Linked DNA regions of Drosophila melanogaster. The gene in region 2 interacts genetically with the main gene of each other region. Each region holds a gene or a part of one and is shown on either strand. Other genes may lie near its edges. The genes, in order: run, Bro and lz.

What was found.
Region 1: of Bro (region 2) and run, changing one suppresses a phenotype caused by changing the other (phenotypic suppression), as found in Drosophila melanogaster (one study listed by BioGRID).
Region 3: of Bro (region 2) and lz, changing one suppresses a phenotype caused by changing the other (phenotypic suppression), as found in Drosophila melanogaster (one study listed by BioGRID).

What each region holds. Positions count from the first base shown.
Region 1 is NC_004354.4:20,684,567-20,694,843, forward strand, and holds the start of run (runt), read left to right. Parts: upstream 1-6,103; 5' UTR 6,104-6,446; intron 6,447-9,544; 5' UTR 9,545-10,126; coding exon 10,127-10,277. UniProt on the Drosophila melanogaster protein: Plays a pivotal role in regulating the expression of other pair-rule genes such as eve, ftz, and h.
Region 2 is NT_037436.4:1,639,643-1,649,140, forward strand, and holds Bro (brother), read left to right. Parts: upstream 1-8,226; 5' UTR 8,227-8,262; coding exon 8,263-8,904; 3' UTR 8,905-8,970; downstream 8,971-9,498. Other genes in the region: Bgb (Big brother), read left to right, coding at 353-994; alphaCOP (coat protein (coatomer) alpha), read right to left, coding at 1,555-4,313, 4,370-5,315; CG13919 (uncharacterized protein), read left to right, coding at 5,900-6,295; CG17249 (uncharacterized protein), read right to left, coding at 6,340-7,758. UniProt on the Drosophila melanogaster protein: Regulates the DNA-binding properties of Runt.
Region 3 is NC_004354.4:9,279,936-9,290,212, forward strand, and holds the start of lz (lozenge), read left to right. Parts: upstream 1-4,713; 5' UTR 4,714-4,801; intron 4,802-5,851; 5' UTR 5,852-5,985; coding exon 5,986-6,847; intron 6,848-8,396; coding exon 8,397-8,636; intron 8,637-10,277. Other genes in the region: c11.1, read right to left, coding at 1-1,452, 1,516-1,693, 2,858-3,014. UniProt on the Drosophila melanogaster protein: Involved in prepatterning photoreceptor precursors in the developing eye; in the larval eye disk it defines a subset of cells as an equipotential group that is competent to respond to the sevenless developmental signal and another subset that confer proper photoreceptor identity by positively regulating the homeo box gene Bar.

The DNA.
Region 1 (10,277 bases), on a different chromosome or scaffold from region 2:
GGACGGGTTTTCCATTTTCCGCTTTCCTTGCGCTTTGTTTACTTTTTTATAGCCCAAGTGTTGGCATTTTTGATTGTTTGCCCCGCAGATTTCTTCTTTTTGACAAATAAAATGTCAAATTATTAACACAACAAGAGTTACCCACATCCTTCGTCGCTTCCTCTTCTGTTTCTGTTGTTTCTGTTGTTGCTGTTGTTTCTAGCCTTCCTAACGAGCAGCTCACTGTTTTTGGGGGTTAGACTGCGAAACTCCCACCTCATTTTTTTTATGGTGTACGAAAAAATCGCGACATGTTGGCAATAAACAGCAGGTGCCGCTGGCAGGGATACTGAACAAAAAATAAAAATACAAATGCAAATAAAAAAAAAAACACAAAGGTATGGCAATTTCGCTGTGTCTGCTCCAGTTTCTGACCAGTTTTTAGTGTTCTATTTTTTTGGTCGAGCAGCATAAGTTCTTTATATTGTTTTTTTTCTATTTTTGGAAATTTTTATGAGGTCAGTCGAGGGGCGAGAGCCGTTCAGGGATCAATCCATCATAAAGAGGCACTATGCACCACCCGCCTCAATTAGTTCGAATCTTCGGCTCCCTCCAATCTTTTTAGGGCGAAAAAAATTCGGAAATCCTCGACGACAGGATTTTTATTGCTCGAAAAACATGCAAAAAAGTAGGACATCGACGCAGCAGGACGCCCGAGGGTCCTTTATGGCTGCTCTCGTTTTACGCTTCTTAGGTAATTTTTGGGCCAATTTCATGGGCCCATGAATGAAGCAGCGCAAAAAGAGAAGAAGGCCCACGGCCAGCACACAAAAAATTCCTTCTAAGAGGCGCAGAAAAAAATGCAAATTATTACGCAAGTCCTGCGGCTTCTGGGAATTTCGCCATTTGTAGGTCAGCTCAGCAGATTTATGAGGTCCTCGCTGAGGACCTGATCTAGATCTAAATAATTTTTATGATTCTTTTTTAACAAGCCGGCCATAAAGCAGAACAGAGGGCGAGCAGGAAAAAACTGTAGCAAAGTTGAGAATTCCTGCTCTGCTTTTCCGCATAATTGCTGCACAGGATCCCTCGTCCTTCGCTGGAAGTGATCCGCGCCTTTGTTGGTCCATAGAAAAAACGATGGCCTCACAAAAAACTGCACTAAAAATTGGTCAAAAAACTGGAGCAAGCATTTTATGGATGCGGCCCATTGTCCTTTGGCTTTGGCTTTTTAGCCACAATTTCGATCGTCCTTTGTCCACACTGATCGTCTTTTTTTTTCGCCCAGTGTCCTTCTTTCTATTTTCTGCGGTTGAGGTGTAAAAAAGTCGAGCAGTTTGTTTGAGGGTCGGTGAATTACCTTAGAAGTTCAATGGGAAAGTAATTAAAGGTTCATTGCTTTATTGGTACAACATCTTGTAAAGATGCATAACGATAAGTAGTTCATATACTCGTAAGCCAGATATATTTGGATGTACATACTAAATAATATAATTGGGGTAAAACGGGTTCTATTGAAATATTTAAATGTAAATATTAAATATCCGTTTGCATTGGGTTACCTTTATTAATTAAACGGCTACATTAATAGGAATACAAGTATTTGCACTGTAGCTTAAGCTTAAGTTAACTACTCTACACACCGATGATACCATTCTTGAGTCTACATAGTATTACAAATTGAATTACAAATTAAGCCATTTTTGTCCATCATTGCCCCTTTGTGTACCATGTGTACATCGATTATAGACATCCTGATTTTTCGCCATAACTCTACGTTGTCATTCGTGTATACATATGTATGTATGTACATATGATTGTATTTCAGACCTCCATTGTTTGCCATTCGATTTAATGTGCGTATTTAAATCGAGACGCGAGTTAATCAAGCATTTTTGGTCAAGTTAATATTTTTTTAGCGGTTTACTCCATTGACAAACTTTTGACCCACTCGCTTCCTATCATGCCCTCTCATTCCCACTCGATATCCCCATCTCTTTCGGTGTTGACCAATAACCAACCACGGTTAACCAGACAAAAGGCCACAAAAATGCCACGAAAATCCCAAACTAAAATTGCACACAAACAACAGAACGGCAAACAAATGGCTTAACCCCACAGTGCCGGGCAGGCCAAGCCCCAAGAGAGAGAGACAGCGATATAGGAGAGTGACAGAGACGGGGAGAAGAGAGAGCGTAAAAAACTGCGCAAGCTGGGCATAAAAATTCAAGGCAATTATGCATACAAGTTGACAACTTCCAGTGAGAGGGGCTGCAAGTGTGATATGGGGTGCCGGGGCTTAACCCCCCAAAACATTGCTCAAAAATACTATAGCCTACGTTTTATACAACTAATGTAAGTTATGGTTTACATTTTCTATTCGATAATAAGTCATATTTGTATATATGTTCTTATTAACTAAGATTAGTGACAAGTTTTAGTTTAGTTTTAGATTCAATTTTGCACATGAATGCCAAAAACATTTTACCAAAAGTAAGTAGTGTTCTTCGTTAGCGATTCGATCTAAAACGTATATTCAAATTTTGGTTTTTGTTTTCGGTGCACCCAAGTGTCAATAATGGCGCTGAGAACTCTTTAATGTCGAGCGTTGCTTCCTCCTCGGTTTTATTTTTTAACCTCACATCCCTGGCTCTGTTCCCGTCTCTCTTGCACCCGTTAACCCGTCTCTTTCCTGCGCGGAGATGCTTGAAAAGTTACGACGACTTTGGCCAGAAATACAAACCAGCAAACCGCGTTTTGATTTGCAACCCTTGGCGGGCTAAGACGGTCGACCAGAGGAAAAACCAGAAAAGTGGGTGGAAAATATGGTTTAACCCCCGCCCCGTTCGCCCACTCGTGCCATCTCGCTCTGTTCGCCCAAGCACCAAAGGGCTAAAGGACCGAAGGCCGAAGGACCTCTCTCTCTCTCTGGCAAAGCCAAAGCCAAACTAGTTTTGTGGCCGCAGCTGCCGCCGCCCTTAACCCCCGCGCGCCACCAGTGCCGGCGGAAGACCACCCCTTTAACCCACTCGGTGTCTGGCTTTTCGGGGTGGAAAGGAAAAGGAAATGCCAAGCGAACGGGGCAAGCAAAAAAAGAAAAAAAGAAATACAAAATTGAAACATGAAACGTGCGGCGGACAGGAGCGTTTTCCAAGACGCGCTCTCCGTTTTTCCAGCCAGATAGAGACGGGACGTGCCAAACGGACAGAGAGAGCAATACAAGCTTGGTAAAAAAGAGTTGTCATGGAGCCGCGAACGAGCAGGGGCGTCCTTTTTCTGGGGTTTAAGGCAACTTAACCCAAGACCTAAATAAAACTGGTTAAGTTTTGTAAGAATTACGAAAATAAAGAAATATTTATGTACATATATGCATATTTGAAACACCTTTCGAAATAAATAAGTTCTTTTAAATAAAATGAATTTTTAATTCATCATTAGCCAACTTATTAACTAACGATATGTAAAACGATTCAATATGCAAAGCCCCTTCTGTAGTCTAAGCCACTGCTGAAAAAGGGAGCAAAACACAATGCAGCTGGAAAAAGTGGGGAAAATGGCAGGAAAATGCAAAAAATGTGGAAAAAATCAAGGAAAAGCCGGGGACGAAGGCTCACCAGAGGAGCCAAGTCTCCCTCCGACCATTCAAGCCGACCGATGCCACGCGATACCCTACAACCGAATGGCGCGGCATATGCCACTTCAAAATGGCCGCCAATTATGCGAAATACCCAGCCGGAGTGCGTTTTTTACATATCAAATGGGAACAGATCTAAAAACTGGTTCCTGGCTTCCTGCCCGCTATCCAAAAGGGGTCGCAATCGCATTAAGGACGCACTCCTCGGGCGGACTTAACGGATTTCCAGCTCTAATCTGCACATTGTCTGCCCATCGGAAGTTCGAGGGCATGTGTGTGTGCGGAGCGTGCTGGCTGTATATAGCCGCGATTTCGATATATCTAAGTATGTACAATATATACCCATTTACAAAGCCAAAAGTTGCAGTTCAGAAGTTAGCGCCGGGGAGGCATGGGAAAGCGGGTTTCATAATAACAAAAGGGGGTGGGGAGGCATTATAAAATGGAGGATCGGTTGGTGGGAAAACGTATTTAATCGAGGACAGATCGACCTTCTGCAGAGGGCGGCCGATGCGTTGAGAGCTAACCCGTTTTAGGCATTTCAAAATTCAGTTTTGTACTCAAAACAAAAATAAACAGAATAAAGAAATGATCCCCTATCAACACTTTCAGTAAATTTAAAATAGGAAAAAACAGGCAGGTCTCGAATGAAAAACCATAAATCACATGATTCGTATTGATGGAAAACTTACTATAAATATCAAAAGATAATATAAAACGATGCCGATGATCACGAAAAGTGTCCTTTGATCAAAAACAGCCCAAAACATAACCGAAGAACCTTTGTTGTGCCAACAAATGTAAACAACTTGCACACTCCTCCGACTTTTCTTTACTGTTTCCCGTTTTTTCGGGAGTTTTTTGTAAACAATTTGTAGGGGACATGTGTAACAATCGCCAGAGATCATTAGGATTTCAACGCCGATCGGACAGCTGCATATTTTCCCCCACCAATTTTCGCCTCTTCCATTTTCCCTTGGCTAATTGTCGCGGGCCCAAAAGAAAGTCCATTCAAAATGGTTACGGATCGTTCCTGCCAAAAATCCATTGTTCTTAAGTAAATAGAGAGGGGCCAAGTCAACGAAAACTGAGGAAATATATATGTATGTGCACACAAGGAGCACAAATGATCGCTGAAAAATCCATGACATGTGTCCCAAGCAATCCAAGGATCCTGGGATTCGGCCAAGATGGAGTAGCGCACACGGGCCAAAGAACAGCTGGCAGTCGGAAAAGTGTGTGGAAAACGGTGGAAAGCCAGCCAATGCATGGCCACCTAACCAAAACACAATTTTGTGGGAGTGTCGCAAAGGCAAAGAATAAAAAAAAAAAGAAAACCAAAAAAAAAAAAAAAAGGAAAAGGTAAAAAGAAAAACAGAAGGAAACCCGAAACACACTCATTCCCCGTTTTTCACCACACGAAAGAAAATAAAAAACACCCCCAGAACGCAGAAAAAAAATCACTCAAACAAGCGTTTTCCAATGGAAAGTGGTGAACCGGCTGTGGTGTAATTTTTTCCGAGGGTTGAATGACGTCGCCAGCGGGGGAGGGGGATGGGGAGGAGCGGTCGGAAGCCGCTGCCGACGTCGCTGCCGACGTCGCTGCCGGCAGCACTGCCAGCGCCACAACCAAAACAACAAACCACAATTCACTTACACAACGCCGCAGCCGCAGTCGCAGTCGGTCCGCTGCCGCCGCGCTGCCCGCTTTTCCGCTTTTCCACTGCTGCCTTTTGTAAATAAAGAAGAATGCGCAAATTGGCGGCACAAATTGTTAAATACACTTTTCAGTATATTTTCAAATATATTCATAACGAAATAATAAGTTTGTTTTCCCTAAAAAAAAAAAACAAAACATTTATGCACGTTTTATAATACTTTACAAATATTTGTTGAATAAATTGATTATTGTATTTATTATAAACGCTTTTGAGCTATTAAAAGATATTTAATTTTTTACTACAAAATATGTTTCATGCTTAAATTAAATAATTTAAATTGAATTTCAGTTTCACTTTATACAGATGCTTAGTTAAAACAGTTTTTCGTCGTTATAATCGTTTCAAAAACGCATCAATATTGTTATTGTTCACTTGTCATTTGAAATAGTTAAACTAACCAAACACCGAAGGGTACAAAAATGTTCCTCGATTGGCAGTCGCTTTTGTTTTTTATTCTCCTGTGGCAGTGAGCATTTCCCCTGCGCCACTGGAATTTCCACGGTGCCAGAGTTTTCCGCTCTCTGTCGGTAATTTTTGTTGGGGGTTCTGGGGTTCTCCGTGGTCAATGGCTCCTGGCTCCTGGGATCCCTGTGCATTCAGTATAGCCTGGATAACGGTTGTGCGAGGAGCTCCATGAGGAGAGGCGGAGCCACGATCGGCGCAGCCGTCTCGTTCTCTCCCATAACGATCGCCCTACTAATAAATCATCCCCTCTTGGATGTCAGCTATTTCCGTAGCATCTGCTCGCCAACGGTTGGCCGATCTCTGCGGTTACCCCAGCCCCTCGAGCGTAGGTGCCTCTCTTTCGTTCGCCTGGTGCCGTCTCTTTCTGCGAGGGGGAGGGATCTTGCGCACGTATATGAATAATTCAACTGATCGCCGTGGTGATTGGGGGATGAACGGAGTACTGGTTTGTCCGTTCCTCGGAGGTGCGGAATGCACAGATCGTAGTTCTGATACCCATTCATTTCGAGGAAATTTATTCAGGAACGTCACGGTATTTGCATAAGTGAAATCGTATCTCACAGTTAGCAGCCTGTATCGTAGATTGATTACTAAAATACTTTTCTAAATAATCTGCACTAAGATATAGTTCAGATTGCGTAAGATCGGTAAGTACAGAAGCTTTTAATCGCACTGGAAGTTTTATTTACCGCTCACGACATTTGCATAGATGAAACCGTATCTTACAGATTCAAGTAGCTTGCGTACTAAACTACTGTACAAAAAATATCTGCACTAAGAAATAGTCGGGAGTGATTTTTTATGGTGAAGTACAGAAGTAAATTCAGCTAATTAAGCCTCGCTCTTTTTTGTTTTAAATTAACTGCTCAACAGCAGTGAGAAAAACATTGCATATATTGAGTACATGAATACAGGTTACTGTCGCCTTAATCTCCCATCGGTTAATCCCGCTAAAAAGCGAAGTCCTTTGAGTTTTTGGTGGCCAGGTAGGCACTTTCCGTATCAGATGCTCGTTGCTTATTTTTTGGGAACATATTTTATGGCCCGTGGCGGCGGCTAATCGGCCAAAATATTTGCGGGGCGTGCTGCTTAATCCGGGCGATTGACTTTCATAAGCAAAGGATTAAGATTGCGCGGTTGGACTACCTGTTTTGAGGTGCGATATCAGTACATGCGATGGTACATCTGAGGGCCAGGTACGTCAAAGCCAGTAAACCCATAGTTTTCCCACTTTTTTGGGGCCGCAAAAAAGCATCGGAGGGCCCATAAAAAAAGGGTTGATCCTTTTGGCTGCTGTGGGCTCGTAGCGAGTTCGGTATGGAGATCAGGTACTGCCTGGTGCTCGGTGATCCCTATGAGGCGGTCCTGCGGGTCCTGCGATGCGCGTGCTGCGGCAGCTCCTGTCGCAAATTGCCAAGGAATCGCAGCAGGATCCAAGAAGCGACGACAGGAGCGCTGATTTCCCGGGAAACCGGCAATCGTCAATCGGCCATCGGCAATCGCGTCCTTGTCGCACGCCCGCTAAACCTGCGCTGTCCTGCCATATATCCCGGGGCTATATGGTGTGAAATCGGTGTAGGGACACGAGGTCCTTCGCAGCGAGCGGCCGCGCACGTACAAAAGGCAGCGCTGCCGATACACTGGATTTACTGGAAGTGTGCGTCTATAATGTCCAGCTGAGAGCGGCGCGTTCTCGCGACATTTTGGTTGGTCTTGCCTCGTAGTTCCCCTACCAGAATGGCCATGCTCCCCATTCCTTCTCCTCCTCCTCCACGCGGTGCCTGGAAGAGTCCGCCACCTCGGAAAACTCGCGGGTCCTGTGTGGCCTCGTTTTTAAGGTTGTTTTGGTGGGCCGCAATTTTTTGGCCAGTCAGGCACTTGATTTGCGTTCCACTGCACGAAATGAGTGTTGAAGGAATTGAGAATATTACTTTAAATTGTCAAGTCAAGTGTCAAGTGTTATTCAGCAGCTCTTAAGAATTAATACACAGTTAATCCATTTTACATTAAGTTAATTAAATCGTTCATATTTCGTTTTTGAAGCTAAGTTTCGTAATCTGAATTACTATCTATGTATGTGCTAATCACTTAGCCAATCGCTAAGCAAAATGTACAAATCTTAAAACCTAAGTAAACGTAGATTAGTTTGAAGAGAGTTCAATGTAGGCAGCCAAAGATACTCGATGTTCTTCCAAGTATGACACTTCCGCATCAGATTAAATCCGATCAGCTAGCTAAACCTGATCCAATCAAGGATCGGCGATCGCAGGCAGCGAAAATGGAAATGAAATCGAGCCGGATTGCGCCACACGAACTGAGAGGCGCACAAATATTTACAGGACTAATCGCAGGATAATCGCCCGATCAGCATTAGGATTAAGTTCGATCCCCGGAGAGATCGATGGCACTGCATCTTAGATAGTACTGGAAGTGGACCGGACCTGACAATGGGTGTTAGTTGGACAGATTCAGATCGGAGATTGCAGATCAGTTGATCGAGTTCCGAGTTCCGAGATCGGCGATAAAGTAAATTTTGGGCGGAATCGAGAAAAACATTGAGCAACACTGAGGGATCAGTGTGCCGTAATATGATCAGCCGGGGATTTCTGATTATTTTGAATGAAACACTAATTTTTGGGACATTTTCGAACAATGGGACGCACTGTTATGCACGTGTATATGTTTATTAATTAGATCTGATCTTAAATTACTTAACTTAACTTATTTGAAATGAAATTATATGGATAACGTTGATGCATATTCAAAAAAAAAAAAATTAACACTGGAAATGATTAGTTTTTTGAACAGATTATTAAAACGATTTGTAGCACTAATAATGATGTATTTAAAATATCGTGCTTATGTTGATATATATATTATATATATATATATATATATATTATTATATTTATTATATTTTTTTCGGCATCTTCATCTTAATCGATAAGATACCTTCGAAAGCAATTAAATATATGATAATAAATACAAATATAAAGGAAAATATAATTCATCTTATGATAGTATGGGATAGTGTGTACTATATGTACTATAGATTATTATCATAATTGAAAATCCCATGTTCCAAAATTTTCCAAACTCCACAATCGTATCACCCATGAAATTAAAAGGCTTAAATCCTTTTATCCCAAAGTCATAGTGATATAGCTCTCCTGATGCTTGTGATAATATTTATGATAATTTCGCAACCTGATCCCTCCTCGCACTGACTAATTGAGTCCTCATGTCCTGTCGGCAGGACGCCCCTGGCATCCTAGCTACTCGGGAAAGGGAAGGCAAGGGAACGAGAAGGAGATGGTGAAGGGAACCCCCCGTTTGGCCATGGGTGCCTACCTGTACCACCCGCCCCCGCCCCCCTCGACGAACCCCTCCGCAGGAGGGCCGCCAAAACACGCGCGCCGCTGGAAGTGGAAAATGGGAAACTGTTGCACGGCCGTTTTTCTTTTGGCGTGCGTGGCGAAAAAATAAAATTCAAAGCGAAGAAAAGGAAAACGCACACAATTTCCAGACCGCCCGTGGGGAAAAGCGAGAGAGGAAGCGAGAGCCAGAGCGAGAGAGTGGAAAAGTCTCGGTGTATTTCTTTTTTGAGTTTTTCTTTGGTGCAATTTCCAGGCCATCACTCTCTCTCTCTCTTTCTCGCTCTCGCCCATGCGATTTTCCTTTTTTCCGCTGTTATTTTTTCCTTTTTGGCCACAAGTAACAAGCGACTTCTCTCTCACGTACACAGGCACACTAACACGACAGCCAAACACACACACACACACAAACACACAGAGAGACCGCAATGGAAAAATGGGAAATTTTTTGCTGTGGTTGTTGTTGCGGCGGCAATGGTGGTTGCTCGATATACCGATATATACCTGCCCCGGCACCCTTAAAGGCGCGCCTGTGTGCGTAGGTAGCCAACCACACCACCATACCGCCCAGGATAATGGGCGGGAAAGAGACGGCGCTAGCGCCGTGCAAGTGGGACGGGGCACAAACGCCGGCAGAGCCGTCGACAGAGGCGGCGAGCAGCGCATTCCACTTTAAATACTGCCAACGATCGCAGCAGAGAATCAGTTCACTCAGCGACTTTAGCGTGTCGAGAACGCACAGAGAAATATATCGTTTTCGACTTTGGAAAACAGAAACAGGCTCGAAAGAAGCAGAGTTCGAAATCGCGAAACAATCCAATAACAACAAACAAACGAATTTTTTCCAAGTGACCCCCGATAAAGTGAAGTGCATACCGAGAATCCGCAATAGAAAACCGGCAATTGTCGACAGCCCCAGGATTACGGCTACGATTTCCACATTCGGATACGAGATGCATCTGCCAGCGGGTCCAACGATGGTGGCCAACAACACACAGGTCCTGGCCGCTGCCGCCGCCGCAGCAGCCGCCGCAGCGGCCGCGGTAGCCCAGGGTCCTGGGCCGCAGCAGAGTAGCAATGCCACCACCGCCTCCGCAATCGCCA
Region 2 (9,498 bases):
GCTCGTGCCGTGCTTTTGCTTCCATCGCTACGTTTTGACTTCTCCACTATTTCCCAGTGGCAACGCCGCGTCAGTTGGTATATCAAAACCGCAAACCAACCTTTTTGTTGTATTGTGCGTTGTTTTTTTCGACGGAGGCGAGAAATTTAAACAATTAGCATTCAGAGTGCTAAGATACAAGAGCTTATTGTGTATACGCAGAAGGCTCGTCGAAGGAGCGACCAAAAGAAACCCATCCAGGGTACCGAGTTCCAGGGATTATTGTGTGCACGCAGCGGTCTGCAGAAGCACCCATAGAAACATACCCTATTCAGCGTTCCATCGAGCGGACGAATCGCGAAAACCCGTTAAAATGATGAACGAGGCGGCACTTGCCAATATGATACCCTACGACACCATCGGATTGTATGAACAGCCAAAGCCGCGCTTCATCTTCAAGATGCCTCGTGTGGTCCCGGACCAGAAGTCCAAGTTCGAGAGCGACGAACTTTTCCGGAGGCTCAGTCGGGAGAGCGAGGTTCGGTACACGGGCTATCGGGAACGAAGCATCGAGGAGCGGCAGGTGCGCTTCATGAACGGATGTCGCGAAGGACACACGGAGGCCAGCTTCGTGGCATCGGGCACCAATCTGCAGCTGGTGTTCAACGCCAACCAGAACCCGTACCTGCACGACAAGGAGTGCGACTTTGACAAGGAGCACGGCAAGGTGCACATCAAGTCCTACTTTATCATGAACGGGGTTTGTGTCCGGTTCCGTGGATGGATAGACCTGGAACGACTGGACGGAGTTGGCTGTCTGGAGTATGACGAGCGGCGCGCCATGCACGAGGACGCCATTCTGCGGGATCAGATCGATCGCTACAACCAGCGACTGCGTGAGTTCGAGGACACTAAGCGCGCCTACCGTGACAATCGACAGGACGAGATGGAGGCAGTGCGACGGGGCGTGGCCTCCGGAGGCATTGGCGTTGGCGCCAGCATGTGGCGTCGTTAGTTGGACCTGTGGACGGCTCCTGGGCCGTCCCATCCGCAGCTGCCTCCCCAGCAGCAGCAGACGCATCACCAGCAGTTAGAGACTCAATTCGCGAATACTCAATATTTCATGGACAACTGAGAATGCTCCGAACCCCTTAAGAGGGCTTTCACTTGAGAGATTTCAATACGATTACGTTAGACACGCTCGAATAATTATGCTCCTAGATTAGTGTTAGATGTAATGCTTACTTTACGTATGCTTTTATGGTATTATACTTACAACTTAGTGTGAAATTAGTGTCGTATCTTTAACTAAAATACATAATTACTAATCTATATGGCATTGTTCATTTTGGAATTTCCACCTTTAAGCAGAGTGACTAAGACTCTTCACTGGGAATTGCCTACCGAGGCTAGGTATCGATCAAGAAAACAAGTCGTTTGGTTTGATTTTATAGCATTATAATATACAGATACTGAACTTTATACATAATAAGCAAGGATCGTGTAAAACTAAACTATGGGGTCTCGCTCGGCGTGTTGGAAACATTTATATTAAAAGCGACAAGCTAGTCCGTCCTAGCGGAATTGCAGGTTTGAAATGCGCAGGCCAATGCTATCCTTGCCGATCTGGCTCACTTCGCAAACTGTGCAGAGATTGCCCTTGAACTGAGGGTCGAAAGAGGAGGAGCAGAAGGGACAGGTCACTTCGGGTTTACCCCTATACAGTGGCTTCCAGCTGATGCCGCAGATTGTGAACGGATTAAACTCCTCGTACTGCAGCTGATGCTCGTCCACGGGATTTACCTCGCAGGCCTGCAGGATCTTGCGCACCTGCTGGGCAACGTCCGGTCGTGGCGCCAGTTCCAGGAGACGACGGGCAAATGAGGCGGCCGTCTTGTAGTTCTTCAGCTTGAAGAACATATTGAGGGCGGTACGCAGGGTGAGGATTTGGTGCACGGGCTGAAGCTTGCAGTGCGTGAAGTAGGCGGCCATCTCGCACAGACGCTTTTGCTCCTCAAGCGTCGACTTGGGCATGCCCTTGCGCACAGTCTCCATCTTCAGGCCAACGATATACTCAGCGCAGATCCTTAAGAGTTGCTGGGCCTCCGCCGCATCTAGCTTCGTGTCCACTACCAGCAGTGGGATGCTAATCAAGATGGAATGGAACTTCTCTACTGCCTCGGAGAACTTTCCAGAAGTTGTCAGTTGGTACCCAGCTTGCAGGCGTGCCACCAAATCATTCAGTTTAATGCCAACCGCAGGACGCTGCAGCTTGATGTTTGTCTCGGAGTAGTTGCGAAGTGGGTAACCACTTAGGGATTGCAGATTCGGATTGGCCGTGTAGCTCGTTCGAGAGCAGGCGTAGTTCTGCAGGAAGAGTGTCTTGAATGGCTGGAAATTGACCACTCCCAGCTGATCGTGCAGTAAACGGAAGGCGGTTTCGAATGATCCGGCCTTGACATGGTCCAGGACCAGAGGCGAGTTGTTGGCCCATTGTTGGGCAGGAGACAAGCCTTTGTTGGGAGCCGCATAGTAGTTGCTGTCGAGGGCTGAGGCCTTGATCTTGGAGGCCAGTTCCTCGGGCACAACCAGGTCATCATCGCCCACATCCCAGCCGGCACCCTCCTCTCCACCCGCACCACCATCGCCATCGTTGCTCAGCGCGTCGTGCATCTCGTCATCTCCGTCTTCATCTAGTCCCAAGTCGGCATCCGCTCCCCAACCATCTCCACCACCATTATGCTCGTCCAACAGTGCAGCATCGGCGTTGATGTTCAGCGCCTGTCGGGCAGTGGCACTGGAGCCAGCCCTGGTGACCATGGCGCCTTCAAAGAAGCCCTTGGACACGGACAGCAACGGCCAATTGGTTTCAAGCTGCTGGATGGGCACTGGTGGCTGCAACAACTGGGCATTGGGATTCACCTCGGGAAGGCTGTTACCCTGCGAGGTTATCGATTCGCCCAGGGACTCAGTGAGCTCATCGAATCCATGAGTAGCGGCTGTGAGATAAGCTAACGAAAGTTGTCCGCAGTTTTTGAGGATGTTTACCCGCTCCTTGACGTCACCGAGAAGGAGGGCACCCTGGTACTGGGCGGAAACATCCTTGCGAATCTCGGCAATCTTGTTCATCTTCTTGAGCTTCTCCAAGTTGCCGGTGATCAGGTAGAGGAAGCTAAGCTTGTCAAAGTTCTTGGTCCGCTGGTAGCACATCTCTACCACCTGGTGGTTTCCTTGGAGCAGCGCACTCTGTCCCAGGCGATCCCAGCAATCCTTGTCATCGAGAGCCTTGGCTGCTTCGAGAGCAATTTCGATGTTACCGCACTCCAGAGCGAGTCCAAATCGGGTTTTCTCATCCTTGACAAAATGCAGTGCCACCTCTGGATAACCCTTTTGCTGCAGGTAAGCAATGATGCTCTGACCCACTAGGCGGGCATTTCTCACCATATGCAGTACTTCATCGTACTTGCGTTGAATCAGGGCAAGCTTAAACTTGTACTCCGTAGGATCGATGTGGAGCACACGGGTGCGGCACTCCCGGTCCAAGCAGAACACTTGGTTGCCCTTGACGCGTGTCAGATAAATGGGTAGGTCCAGCGTACGGATGATGCCGTGGTCCCCGTTTGTAATGGCGTACTTAATGTGGTTGCTAGTGGTGTAGATAAACACTCCAGACTCGTCCCAGGCGCCAGACTTCACGCGGCAGTTCTCCTGCACGGTGCACAAGTACTGAAGTCTTCGGTCGCAGATTGTAACCGAGTGCTTGCAGAGTAGAGCGACCAAGGACATGTCCGGAGACCACACCACGTAGCGGCACTTGGCCAGTTTAATGCTTCCAACGGAGACTAGGCGCTGAACTTCGTACAGTGTGACAAACTCAGGGTCCCGAATGAGCAGCATTCCCGTACCGGCATAGAAGATCTCCTCGCAGAAAGTTGGCAACTTCTTGGTCACCTCATTCTTGAAGTTCTTGATCACCAACTGCTGGTTGCGATCAAGCACTGCAAACCGATTGCGTGCCACCCAGATGGCCGTGATTCCAGAGCTTCGCTTGCTGTCCGACTCACTTTGGCTCTCGGTGTCCTTGGGGATTTGGCAAAGATCGTAGGTGCTGTTCTCCAGGTTGTTGGTGCGCGTGCAGATTAGCACGGCGTTCAGTGCTGGGTTGTACGACATGCTGTACACCGGCGACTTGCCTGGTCGAAGCTGCATAACCACAGTGTCCTTAGTGGTGGTAAAGTCCAGTTTGCGAAGGAAACGTTCCTTGACGTAGTAGAGAATATTCCCGTGGACAGCATATGCAGGACGCTCTCGCTCCAGTTTAAAGACCACCATACCTGAAAGAATATGTATCATTACAAAAAATTCCTATTCCTAAAAGAAATCAACTAACCTCCATCGTGGCCAGCTGCAAACAGATTCAGGGTCGGATGCGCTGTAAGTATCCAGAAGCGCTCGTTGTCCCGCCGGAATGTAAAGAGGCACTGGCGCTTGGTCATGTCCCAGACGCGAATACTGCGATCTTCGCCGTTGGAGAGAATCAGGTCTTGCCTGGGATGGAACAACACGCTGGACACGTTGTTGTAGTGACCGCGACAGGTGTCGACCTCCCAAGCCTTGTACTCGTTCATGCGCCACAACTTCACAAGGCGATCATCGGCACCGGAGACAATCAGCGGCAGGGTGGGATGGAAACTGGCCCAGTTGACGCCACGGTCGTGGCCCTCGAGCACGTGCTTGACCACGGCATCTGCTTGGCCAAACAGATCAGTGGCACCCGGATGACCCTTTAGGTGGTCATCAAGCCCACCGGGCCCGGGAGCCACGTTCTTCTTACGCAGCCCCGAAATGTCCCACACGCGCACCGTCTGATCGAGTGAAGCAGAAACGATCTGATCCTCCGTGGGATGGAACTGGGCGCACATCACATAGTGGTTGTGGCCCGTCAGCACGCAGATGCAGTTGCGCGACTGCCAGTTCCAGATGCGTATGGTCTGATCGTCGGAGGCGCTCAGAATCCATGGGTATTCGTGGTGGAAAGCCACCGTGCGCACATAGTCCAAATGGGCCAGGAGGGTAAAAATGCATCGGCGTTGCTTGTAGTTCCACACCTTGATCTTGTAGTCGTCGCCGCCAGAGACGAAGAGCGGCATCTGCTGGTGGAAGGCCACGCCTCGCACCGGTCCGTCGTGCTCGTCGAACTTCTCGAGGAGCGTGTGCATCCGGTAGTCCCACAGCTGGATGACGCCGCTGTGCAAGCTGACCAGGATCCAGGGGCGCTTAGGGTGGAAGGAGAGGCCCTTCACCCTCGCCGACTTCGACTCGAAGTTGGTCAGCATGGTGGCACTTTTTCTGTTCTGCCTGTAGGTGTCTCAAATTGGATGCACTTCTAGGTGTCGGCTTATCCGTCAAGCGCCCTTTTTTTGCTGGTTCGAGCACTTGCCTGTATCAAAACATCAAGAGGTGGGTGTTAGAACAAACCCATTTTATTGATACGCTACAAGTAACACGTAATATACTGCCAACAATTAATTTTATGAAAAACACCAACCAATCGTCGAAATTGTGACACGTCAATTATCTTCTTCTTCGCGACCCAGTCAGTGTTGCCAGCGTTGGCAGATGTGCATACACTGGGAACCATAAGTTTTCAAAAGTACACACATGAATATGAATGAATTATCATGCTCTCCAGTCTTCTTTATATAGTTAAATATACAGATTTTACGTGATATTTTTGAATATATTTAATCTTCGTCAATAATATTCGAAAATTGAGTTGGTAAATGTATTTCTACGAACACTTTTAGTGACCACTGTAATCGTAGTTTTACAGCACTGGACAAAGTGCATTCTATTCACGGTAACTTCGCTTTGTTTATTTTCTGTAATACCATGGAAAATATATAAATAAGTGACAAAGATGACACTGGCACACCGGGCGCTCTTCACTTGGTTTATCGTCCTGGTCTTCCTGATTCTTCTGTGTCTCCGCCTGGACCCACGCACCACCTGGAATTGGTTCGTCACCTTTACGCCACTCTGGTTCTTCGATGTGATCATTATCATCTACGTGATCATTAAATTTATCCGCAAGTGGCGGAACCTAACCTGCCTGACGGATCTCCTGTTCCTCTACAAATGGAACATTGCCGGCGTCCTGCTGACCATCGCCTCCCAAGTGATGATCTGCCTAACGCTGGAGTACCCGCAACAGATTCCCATATACGTGACCGTTGCCCCGGTCATCCTGCTGCTGAGCACCGCCATCTTCTATGTTGGCAGCAGGCTGGGAAAACGAGAGGGCTGGATACAGTAATATTAAGCATATATTGTAGGATTAGGTGTACATAAAGTGAAAACTCAAAAGCCGTATTTGCTTTGGGTGGCCCGACGGGTCTGCCGGTTGGCCGACCACATGGCCTGCAGCTCGGCTTCGTTGGCCTTCGCCTTGTGCGCCAGGTAGGTGATCTGGTGCTTGCGCCGAGTCCCTGCCACCGGCTCCTCGTCCGTCAGCACGCCGGTCGGTTGGAAGGTGGTGGACGAAGCCAGAGCCGATCGCATCCATTCCTCGCGATCAGGTAGCACCTGAGACCCAGATATGTCGATCACCTGCATCTCCTTGGCCTCCTTCCGCCGGCGCTTGGCATTTTTGCCCACCAATGCGTCCATGGCCTCTGCGTTTAACTGTTGCTCATGGTAGCGCTTTTGTGCAATCTGAGACTGCTCTTCCTGAAGTCGGGCGGCTTCTGCTTCGGCTGCTTCCTTCTCGGCTACCTCCTCTAGGTACTTGCTACTGGCTTCCACCATCTTGGCCGCTCGCTTGGCCACTAGAGCGCTAATCTCGTTGCTGCTCACCTCAGGCAGCTTTTGCTCGGAATTCAGGGAGAAAAAGTCTCCAGTGCCATCTTCGTCATCATCTTCACTATCGCTGGCATTTACCAGCGAAGTGGGTTTACTTATAGGTTTGGATTTTGTTGACTTCAAAGCGTCTTTTGTCTCAGGATTCTTCTTGTGCCCGGCCTTAGGGCCATCTACGCCTTCGGTGTTGTGTGCAGCTCGTCGCTGCTTAACTGTATCGGGAACAAAAGCTGGTGCTGCTCGAGGCTGCGCAGGATTATTGCTTAGACTGGAAGCAAGAGTAGTGCTGGCTGATGGGTAGGCTACCGCGGATGAAGAGTTCTTGGAGAAGTTGCGCTCCGACTTTGCTTGGGGCAGCAGACTCAACAATCCCGATCCCTTGGGTACATTGGGCTTATCAACTTTGTTCTTAGCCCTGTCAGCTTTCTCCTGGTCTACATCTGAGAAATCTCTTAGTGAAGGAATGCTGATTTTTACTTTTCCCTTGACTGGCGGCGGTGGAGGTTTCTCTATTTCTACGGGCAGCGCCTTTTTGTGCAGAAACTCATCGTCTTTCTCCTCTACAATGGCTTTTCCTTTCGCTGCTGTTCGTGGCATGGGCAGGTTGGCAAAGGCGGAAGTAACCTGGTTGTCCACATCCTCATTTTCCAGATCCTTAGCGGGAGCAGTGACTTTTGGTTTGGGTAAGGCTAATAGCAGTCTTCCGTTGGGCGGCTTTAACTCCTGAAGGGACACTTCCTGGGGAACGTAGTCGTCATCTTCATCACTAATGTGACCACTGGTTGATTCCCGAGCTAGATACGCTTCACTTGGTGTGCTCGGCTTGGCTTGGGGTTTTATTACTTCCACTTGTGGTACAGAATTTTCCTCTTCGTTCTCCGAATCTTCATCAGAACTGGCAGCATAAGCAACAAGCGACATGTTTATAAAATTGCTAAAGTTAAACAATACAATACACAACAGCTGTTTAATGTGCCCGGACTCTAGAGTTGTCACCTGCTTGGGCTGCCATGGTTGGCAACTCCCTTTGCTTAAGCGCTGTGCTAACCAACACTGTTAAAATTACCGCTAAAACGTAATTTCGAATTTAAACTTAAAATTATATAGTGCGTTCAATTCGTTCGTTTTATTTATGATAGCATTATACCTGCAATCCTCAAAGTATAATATTCGGAGCTGTAAAAACCCTACGGATTATAAAACAAACCTCAAATAGGATACTTATAAGTGCTATACCTGATCCTTATTGTGTCCAGATGGTTTCCATCCTTGATTACCAGGCGACAATTAGGGGATTCGTTAGGTAGCCCAATCGCTCCCGATTACCTGTTCTACAACTTTTTTTTTTTGTTTAAATAAGGCGGTCAATTTTAACATTGATCAGTACAACTATATCTTTCGGAGAATACAGTTATAACATTAGACATGCATCATCACCAGAATCTCGGAGACGCGGCCGCCATGAATGGAATGATCCCGCCATACGAAGCCATGGCTATGTACGAGCAGCCCAAGCCCAGATTCATCTTCAAGATGCCCCGCGTGGTGCCTGACCAGAGGTCCAAGTTCGATAGCGACGAGCTCTTCCGCCGATTGAGTAGGGAGAGCGAGGTTCGCTACACAGGATACCGGGAACGTGCAATGGAGGAGCGCAGGATGCGGTTTGTCAACGACTGCCGCAAGGGCTATGCGGAGATATCGATGGTAGCTTCAGGAACTAATCTGCAGCTCTACTTCAACGCCAACCACAATCCGTACGCCCAGGAGCAGGATTGCGATTTCGAGCGGGAGCGGGGCAAAGTTCATTTGCGTTCTAGTTTCATCATGAACGGGGTGTGCGTCCGCTTCCGGGGCTGGGTGGATCTGGACCGACTGGATGGCGCTGCCTGCCTGGAGTTCGATGAACAACGAGCCCAGCAGGAGGATGCTCAGCTGCAGGAGCAGATTCAAAGCTACAACCAGCGCATGGCTGAGTCCAGGAGAATCTACCACACGCCCCAGACTCCACCCGAGGATCACCATCACAGAGGTGGGCCTGGTCTGCCTAGAGGACCAATGGGATGGTAGTGCTATATATTACCCTCATAGCTTTAAGTAACATCTAAGTAAATCAACAATAAATATCTGAAACCCATTGATCGTGCTCTTATAATACTGAGATTATGTTTAATACACTAATGGTAATATCTGCTCTCAATTACTAAAACTCTCATTTCACAAGGAGTTTCCGAGTTTTGTGTGTCATTCATTTGGCGAAAGCCACTCATGTTCACCTAATGATTGTTTATCTGGGCCTCCTTAAGGGTTGCTAGCCGGGGTCTTTGGCCTCATTTGCGCCACTTTCGGAACAACCACCACCCGAGCCGACTGCCCGAGGATGGTGAAGTGGGTCCAGCTGCCGTTCCGCCATTCCGCCGTGCTCTCCACTCTCCGGGGTGGGCCTGTCGCGGCTGTGGCTGCGGCTGTCCTCTCTTGACTCTCGATGCGGCCAGAGCACCGGTCCCGTGAGCACGTATTGATTTTCCGCCATTCCGTTTGGGATGCTGCCGAAATAAACTTTGCAACTGCTCTGAATGTGAATCTGAATCCGAATCCGAGTCAGTCTCTTTCCGAACTGAAAGCGGAAAGGCGTCGAGTGAAAATGGAATAGGTGAAGGGAAC
Region 3 (10,277 bases), on a different chromosome or scaffold from region 2:
ATCGTCTCGGCTCCAGGGACCATAACCTTTCCGCGCTTGATCACACTGCGATCCTCGCCAGCAGCGCCCATACTCTCCGGTGTGGCTTGCTCCGTGGCGGCATCGTCTCCCGCAATATCGTACTCTATGTGCGGAGATTTGGCAAACAAACTAGCCAGGCACTTGGCGAGATTCCCGCAAATATCCGTGTAGTCCAGTAGGATCAAGTAGTTCAGCAGCTCCCTCTTGAGCAGCTCATCCAAGGTGCCCACCGTAGAGGCCAGCATGTACAGGGTGTTCTCACAGCTCAGCACCAAATTGGCGTGCTCCTCCTGGCTGCCGTGCTCCTGACTTGGCTTTGAGAATCGGCAACTATGCCGCACCACGAACCACACAAACTCCTTGTCCCGGATGTGGGACTTTTGGGCGAGAGCCACAATGGTTTTTAGCAGCGTTAGCTTCATTTTGATCCCTCTTTCGCTGAGGATCAGTTGCTTTAGGCACTCAATGGTGGCTGGAATCCGGTTTTCTATATTCCCTGCACAGGAGTTGAGTAGGTGCGTGAGTATCAGCAGGGACTTCATCCTCTCGCGTTCGCTATTGTTCCGCAGGTGGATCAGCAGGGTGTCCATAATGCGCGTGGAGTAGGGTTGATGACCGGCCAGAAGGTGGAAGCAACGCAGCACCTCGTAGTGACCCTTCACCGTCTGCGGTTTCTCATAGTCCGGATAAACGCAGACCAGGTCGAACAAATGGGTGACCAACACGTCAATTATGCCATCCAAGACTGTGGCATTTAGTGCCAGATTCGTTTTCAACACGGAGCAGAGGAACTGCGTCACGGCATTCCTGTCCACGCTGCGTCGATAGAGCGCCAGGATCTGGGGAACCAATCGGGCGGCCTGATCCTGAATCCGGTCTTTGGGCAGCAGTGGATACATGCTGGACAGGGCCTGCAGTATCTCCACGCAAACCTTTGGCTCCCGGGAGTGCAGCCATTGATTGAAGAGCACATCGTAGGCCACACTGATCTCCGTGGAGCAGTTCTCCTCCTCCTTTTTGCCGCTCTCCTCCAGTAGAGCCTCACTGAATCTACCGATGGCATAGGCATGTGCCTGCTTGATGTGATCCTGGCGTATCCCGACTAGATGCGGCTGACTACGGCTCAATATGGCCTTTATGTGGGGCACAACCCCTGCCGGATTCTCAGTGGCCAGCAGACCGAGGCACTGCATCAGCATAAAGTGAGCCACACCTTCTGTACTTGTTCCCTTCTCCTGGAGCGCCTCCATTACCTGCTCACAACTCTCTGGGCTGCTCCGTCCGATGGCTACCAGGATGCGCTGGGCGGGATTCTGTATGAGTGGCAAATGCTCGGGATTCTTGGTGAGCTCCTGCAGCGCAAGATCAATAAGTTTCTGATTTGCAGCCGGCGGCAGAGGAGTTTCCGCTCCCACCACGCGACGAATGCAGCTGAAATATAGAAAGGTAGGGATTAGAACAGCTTTTAATTGCTGATGTCAAAGGGAAACCTACTCCAACAACATGGCCACTGTTTGATCGGTCATCTTCGGCTGCTGCGATCGATGTTCGCTGAGGATCTCCGCAGCCCGTTCCGGATGGGTCTCCAAGATCTTCACGATCGCCTGCTGCATGGCAATCCGCACCTGCTCCTCCTTGTCCATCAGCCCATCGAAGATGTTGTGGAGAACGCCTGCAAAAGGGCAACAAATGTTTTAAATTTGATTTCTTAAATCAGATCATATGGAATATAATCCAAAATTTAGTTGGCTTGTGTTAAGTCAAAGCTAAGATATCGTTTAAAACAAATGACTAATTTCAGCTAGAGCTAGCAAATAGCAGAACAATGGACTACACTCAGTAACACGAGTAACTAGATCAAAGTCAAGTTAACACTACATAGAGCCGTATTTACATAAGGTGCACAAACTGCAAAGATAGCAGAAGTGGCAAAAACCACATTGATTCACGGATTTAAATGGATGATAGGTTGATTTCGAATTAAATTATATGAGCCATTTTACAACATTGAAAAATGCATACCCCTATTTCATTGAACACAACTGTGGGCACTTTCAGTACTTATATTCTGATAAGAATTCAAATTGTCTGACGCATTCGCATAAATTAAAGAGCTTCACATCATATAAGCATCTATCAATAAAATGAAAAAGGCTAGAAAATGGCAAAAACCAAACGAAATGCTGGAATCAGCTGATTGGGATGGTCAAAAATACACGTCATCCCAGAGATACAAAAGTCCAATTGGACTGGACAAGCGATACTCTAGAGGACTTTTCGCATTGCAATGTTATTTTTGTTCTTATTCCAACAATTAGCTGTAAAACAAAAAAAAACACACACTTACGCATGCAGATGATTAATCAAATCGAATTGAGTGCAATTTGTGGGTGTAATTGTGAAATGTTGTTGTATTGATTTGTCTTGCTCATAAACGTGTTCTAGATGATTTTTTAGGGCTTCACACACTCAACAGGTCCCCATAATACACACGTACATAGATACGAAAATAGAGTTATTTAGCTGCTCTCCTTTCGCTAAAAGGATTCCCCGTTACTTTTGGGCGCTCATGTGTGCGTTGTGCCTAATGCGTAGTTCTATTTTTAGAACAGGACAAAAGACTGCGCTTCGCCTAATCACAAATCCCAATTGGAGTGGGTGGGGTGGACGGGCAAAACGCCCATTTCACGCTAAATCGCTCTCAGCACTTGTGCTTGTGTGTGTGTGCGCTTTCTAATAAAAGATTCCATGGGTCCATCTTTATCTTTATCTTTATCTATGGGATTAGGCAGTGTTCCCTTTGTTTTCATTTTCATTTGCATTTTCGTTTGCTTACCTTCCAGAATCGTTGGCTTATCATTGGGCGCCGCTGTGGCGGTAGATGCATCGGCATTTCCAGTGGCGGCGCTATTTCCAGCAGCTGATTTGTTGTTGGCGGATCCTCCCCCTGTGGCAGCACCACTACCACCGCCGCCAACCCCTCGGCCGTCCATCTTCTTGGTGGAATTGCGCGTTCTCTTCCACTTCTCCAGCTTAACGGGATTTCAGACAGCGATTAACTTTAACGCGCACTTCGCGATCGCGGAAAAACTCGGAAAAACAAGAGATTCACTGCGTTGCGAAATTGTTTGTGTTTAAAACGGGTGGCTGCACTCACATAGGGGAAAAACGGCTGTGGAAATTTTAGTACGTTTTTTATCAACACCATGGACTAGTTGGGCTTCCGAACATGGTGTGTGCCCTCACTGTTCAGTGGTGGCGCAAACCATAGATGACCATAAAAATGAAATTCAAATGTACTGTGTATAAAATAATAGTTATGCATACAGTCTCGTTTTATTATACGGAATTAGCAATTAAGTAAATTTTAAATTTTAAGCTACACAGGCAGTACAGCATACTAATACAATATTAAAGGAAAAAACGCTTTTGAGGTAGTTTTGAAAGTATTTGAGAGCAATTGAAATGCTTAATTTTAATCACTTGATAGCACTTCTGAAATTAAATAGCATAGACATTTGATTTTCTCGCAATTTCTGCCCTCGCAGATAAGCTGACGTTCTTCTCACGCTATTATATTCCCAGCGATAAGAACTATTTCCCTTCGATGTGATAAGTCGGAGGTAAATTTAAAATAAACACTTTTTAAAATCATAAGAACTCTGCGTTGTTATTTTAATTCGATATCAGTATTTCGACCACAAACCAAGGCTGAACCACAAAATATGGCCCAATGATAGTCTCTTATCACGCCTTTCCTTCGCTAAAAAGAACACATGTCATTTGGAATCCTTGTTTTCTTTGCGCTAGCAACAACACACAGTTTTTAATTAACACTTTTTGCGATAATAGCAGATTTGATAAGCATGTTAAGTATCAGTTTTAAAGTAGATTCTCTGATTTTCATCTCTAATATCCAAAATGTATCTATATGAATACAATTTTCCATAAGTGCGTTTTAAATACATGTATGTTAAATTTTAAATAAAATAATAAAAAAAAAAACACAACTTATTTATTTTCTCATGAAAATCTAATCATATCCAGCTCCTAAATATTTTCGAAATTTCCCGGCTGAACAAGAGCGCCGCTCTTAAGTCGTCACGCTCTCAGCTGATTAAAGAGAGCGCGCTTAAATGCGATTCCAATTGGAAGTGGTTGCAGCCGGTGGTGGATGAAAATGTGTCCACCAATGGCGCGCCTCAAATGCCATGTCCACCTGACCAATCAGAATCCGGGGGCGGTGCCAAGTGCAAGGGAAACGCAGGAGCGAGCGAGAGGGAGAGCAACTGTTTATTTGATTAAGCATTTAAATTCTATTATTTTTAGCGAAATTTATTAAAAATTTGATGCAACAGCACTGCGTGGAATGGTGACTTGTCACAATGCACATACTAGGCCATGCATTTACAGAAGAGCAAGAGAGAGAGAGAGAGAGAGAGAGCGAGCAACTTAAGAGACCCAAAACGCCCCGGCCAAAGAGAGTCGTTCTCGTTCCAATTGGCTCGCGAGGCAAGTGGAAAAACGATTGGATTCGACTCAGAGCCGAGCTCAATCGTCTCGCGAAATTCAAGCGGCGCAGTCAAAAGTTAAAAGTCAGTTTCAGTTATGTTTTGGAGTACGACGCGCGAGCATTATTGTTTCCATTGTTAGCGAAGTTTTTAATCGACTGAAAGAAACACAAGAAAATAACACCTCGCTTACGTGTTAACCCTTTTTTTTTGTAACTTGTGCTTAAGTCACTTAAAGAAATACCGAAGAAAGTAAACTAAGTGTGTGTGTAAGTGTTAAACAAAGTAGTAAACAAAAAGCGCGCCAAAATCGGCTAACTTTTAGTTATTAACTCGAATTTCGTCACCAACTAAATTTAAACAAAAGAGCGACACAGTTTCGCCAGAAACTTGCATTCAAACATATTGTTAAACAGTTTTACATTAAACTAAACACAAACCAAAGTGCTATTAAGTGCAGTTAGTAACAAAATAAAAGTGATAAATGGTGACACAAACGAATTAAGGCAATGTTTTTATGACAAAAACTTAAGTTCATATTTTTTAAGGCTTTATTTTGCGACTGTGAAATAATTTGTTTACTTTGTTGCTTGTTCTCAAACAAATAATATACAATAGTAATTGTAAAAGCTTCTTATACATTGTTTGAATAAACAAATAACTGACTCTTTTACAACCATTTATGATTACTTGGGAGATCAGTTGTGAACATTAAATGTTTATATTGTACTATATTGTTTTTACACCGATTCCCAGAAATATCATCAAAGTTAAACTCGAGAAAAGGAGGCCCGTCTGCGAATCGGGAGTCAAACATAGAGTATTACTAATTAGCCGAGTGAAGTGCAAACAATAAAAATATCCAAATCAAACGAAATCAAATTTAATTAAGTTCAGAAATCATCTGGCAAAAGCATGCTCAAAAAAGAGAAAGAAAAAACAACAATAGCAACAAATGCACCGCTAATTCCTGTGACTAATTTATCAAAGTGCGAACTAGCAAAATGTCGATCGTCGTAGTACTCGCAGTTATTTAATATGTATTCAGAAAGGCAAACATATTTTTAATCATTTTTTAAATTTATATATATTGTTTTTTGCAATTATTTCTTTATTTAAACGTACGCCAGTGAACTGTTTCTATATGTACTTTAATTAAATTGCTTAATATGAAACAAATTTGAGATGTTGTCATGGATTGTTTTTAATGAATCGATCGGCATTTTAAGTTTTCAATTAAACACGAATCTTTCTCATATCGTAAGTGCAATTGCAAACAATTGTTAAGTACGCTTTTTTTTTTCTGTGAATTCGTTTAGAGATTAGAGTTTATTGATGAGTGAACAAAAGACACCGCCGGAGCGAAGTGTGATAAGCGCTTGACCTGCGACCCGCACACACTGCAAGAAAAAAAGGGGCAAGCGAGCGGATCAAAGGTCACCGCCGTCGACGAATGCATTTGCATCTCCTGGCGGCAGAGAAGACGCCTCCATCTCCATCTCCAAATCCAACTCCAACTCCATCAGCATCTCCATCTGGGCATACGGGCGCTGCTGGGGAGTCGCAATTGGACTTGGCATCGCAAACGGAATCGCAATTGCAGCTGGGCTTGCCATTGGCTTCCGGATACGGACTCGGACTCGGATTGGGACTGGGCTTGGGATTGGGACTGGGCCAGGAATTGGTGGCGGACCACAGCACCACTGTGGCGCCCGTCAGCGTTGCCGGTCCCGGCCGCCTGGGTCGCAGCATCAACGGCAGCGGCGGCAGCCACCACCATCACCACCTGCACCACCACTACTCACCGTACCACCACGCCCACCCCTACCACCCACCGCATCCGCACGCGCCCCACCACCACCACCACCACCACCCACCGTATCCGTATCCGCCGGCAGGACCACATCCGCCGGCCATGGTCACATCGTCATCCACATCGCCGACGGGCAACGGCTGGAGCAGCTCCACCGGCGACTTCAAGGGCATCACAGCGGTGGCGACGGCCACTGGCGGCGGCGTAGGTGGTGCCACCCAGGGCGCCACTGCATCCACGGGCGCCACAGCCGCTGAGGTTTTGGCCGTTTCGAGTAGTGCCAGTGTTGGCAGCAGCTCGCCCACAGGTGGCGCCAGCAATGGTACAGCCCATAGTGGGCATAGTGGACACACCGGCGGTCACAGCAGTAGTACCGCCAGCAACAACAACAACAACGGTGCCAGCAATAGCAATAGCAACAATAACAACGCCGTTCACCAGGATCTATTGTGGATGGAGCGATTGGTACAGAAGCGACAACAGGAACATCCCGGCGAATTGGGTGAGTTGTTGGTGGGATATTACCAATAACCTAGTAGTAACACAGTCTGCAAAAGGGTTAAGGATTAATAGCTACCTTAATGTCCTTCAAAATCAAAGTGAATATGAAGATATAGTCTAACTGGATTTGTAATTTCCCGTGAACAAAATTGATTGAACAGAGGGATTTAGCTTACTAACTGTAAATAGCAAATTCTTTGCTACCAGATTCCCAATATGATCTATGGTTCTTGATATAATATATCTTATGAATATAAGATTGATAGATAGATATATATATCAAGGCAAGCCTCTGCGGAGACAGCTCTTCCATTCACAAGGTATCAGCATCTTTAGCTCGTGTCGAGGGGATCTGGTGGATGCTTTGCAGGTCTGTTCGATAATCCGATCCCCGAAAGGTGGAGCGCACATTCTTGCCACATCCTTGCACAATGCACTTCTGGGGCTTCCACATCGTGGCAATCACGATCATCGGACGCAGCCTTATCGGATTCCATGGGTATGATGATCGTGATGATGATACCGATGGCGATGATGATGGTGATGCCAGTGAAGATGGGACTGGCATCGCCGTCGGAATATGCGTAAATTGATATCAATAATTGTTATTGATATCAACGCACGAGTCGTTCCCCTTTTTTATTTTGTTAATGCCACCTTTTTTTTTTTTTTCTTATTCCTTGCTGCCCGTTGAACTTTCCTCCCGATTTATCAATGATATCAATGACCCAGAGCGAAAGCTGCTAATGAAATCTCAGCTCATCGCACCGTCAGTCTTGAAATTAGCTGGGGAATCCGCAAACTGGTTATCCTATATGATTTTTTTTTTCACTTCTGAGTCCTTTCATAACTTGTGCTCAATGGATAGCCTTCATATCGAATTGCAACTATCAGGACTTTACACTCTTGTCTTAAAGTAATATTTATATTCCATTCCATTTGAGTTAGTATCGTACCTATGGGATTCAATCAGGATCTGGATGTGCCTAGTCTATTACAATTTATTATTACACAGTTTGGTTTTCAGGGCAGCGCACATTTGATTCCTGACACCTATGTAAAACATGATTTCCAAACCTACAGCGGTGTGACAAATTAAATTTAATGATTATCAGCAATTAGATGTCCATATTTCGGTCTATTTTGCGCGCCAGTCGCGAGTAAATAAATCATTTATTCAGCCAGCCCAGCTCTCCACACTTTGCTCTACTTTCGACACCAGGTCAACAGTCAAACGTCATCTGATAACCGATAACCCCTTCCGGTCCGGTCCGTTCGTTCCGTTCCGTTTGACATCTCCCCGCTCATTAATTAATTATGCACCGCCGGATGGCGAGTCGATGGTCGAAGGACCCAGTATCCAGCATCCTGCATCCAGTGTTCAGTATCCACGATGATTGATATTTATGGACCGACACGAAACTATAAATAATTGAATATTTTTGATGGCCGTGAAAATGTGATTTTAATCAGCGAACCCTTGGCTAATTAAAACCAAACTGATTTATCCTGATTTTTTTTTTTTTTTACCCACTTTCTTCATTTTCCAGTGCGCACGAGCAATCCGTACTTCCTGTGCTCCGCCCTGCCCGCCCATTGGCGCTCCAACAAGACGCTGCCGATGGCCTTCAAGGTCGTCGCTCTGGCGGAAGTGGGCGATGGCACCTATGTCACCATCCGGGCGGGAAACGATGAGAATTGCTGCGCGGAGCTGCGCAACTTCACCACCCAGATGAAGAACGACGTGGCCAAGTTCAATGATCTGCGTTTCGTGGGACGCAGCGGAAGAGGTGAGTTGCAGTGCTGTCCGAACGGTCACTTGGGAATTATAAGCTAAAATGGAGAGAAGAAGTGCAAACGGTAGGCGGTGTGAAAAAGAAAGGAGTTGGTAAACTAACTATCTTCTGTGAATCAGGATCAGATCAGGATAATATATAGTAATTTCTAATAACTGATGAAAATGATCTATATATAACTTATATACTTTATAGCACTTTATATCACCTTTGTGTTTTGGTTGACTATATAACATTTCTGAAAATTAAAGACTTCCTCGAGCACTGCAATCAGCACTTCCTTTGCCAAATGCCGATTATTGCGAGCCCAAAGAATGCTTCCCACAACTTCAAACGAGCGGAAGCTGTAGGTTTATCCTTTCAAACTTTCTTCAAATTACACTGAATGAAAATGATGCGTAATACGTTCAATTATGTATGCATAATTAACTTAATATGGCTTTAATTTCTAAAGACTTTTTTTTATTGAGAGTTACTTCTGTAACGCACACTTCATCATCAAGTATATGATGATAAAACTCTAACAAAATTTGTAACTTGAAGTATGAATTCATAACTTGCTATGTAACTTGCATGTAATATTTGGTTGGCAAATGCATTTTCTTTTTGTGCACCCGAAAATAGGTAATGAATGCATCGGAAGTGCATTGATTGAGTGACAAGCCAGAAGTTCTGGAGTGACTAATGCCGCCTGCGAAAAGGATCAATGGTACAGCAGTCGTCACATTAGGCAGCAAGTTGGCGCTGTCCTCGGGGCAACATGCCACATACAACATGCAATGTGCAACACAGCGTTGTTCCCAGCAGATCCCCGAACATCTCCATGTCGGACATGGTACATTGTACACGGGATATGGGATATGGTATATATGGGATATGGAAATGCGCTGGACAGGATCGGCTGGGCAGGCAGGCTGATCACGCAATGTTCCGAGCCTTTTTGGTTCTGGTAATCGATTTGAACCCACAATTAATGTGCATATGTATTGTGTTGCATAGAATTGGCAGCAGCAGTTGGCAGTTGGTTAATTAGCTGCAACTGTTGCCGCCGCTTTTGACCCTAAGTCAACCTCTGGCCAGGCGCACCACTTCCTCCTCCTCATCCTTCTCATCGTTGCAAACTGAAGGCTCGTGCCGCAAAAGGGCCAAGAAATTTATACTACATACGTATGTATGTATGTGTGTATGTGCATGTATAAAAAAATAAAAAAAAAAATAATTACAGCCATGGCAAAGGGCATGCAAATAACAAGCTAATGATGTAAGAACATAAACGCTGACCAAATTGTCAACGGCAGGCAGCAGCAACAGTTCACTTCACTTAATGGCCACGCCCCCTCGCGACCCCAAACCGCCCGCCGCACTGACCTTTTGGCCGAAGGGTGAGAGGGGGCGGTGGGCGGGGCATGAAAATCGCGGACATCATGCAGCGATTTCTGATTAGATGACAAAGCGAACGAAAACAGATGGAAGCGAAACCATCAGCATGTCAAGGGGCACGAAATGCACAAAAATCCAGGGGTATGCAGTGGTTGGATGAACGCAGGGATACCCTGGGAAAAAAAAAATAATGAAAAAATCAATAATGTAATCTTAAAGGCGATTAAAGCTAACATATTTTTATTAAATAATAAG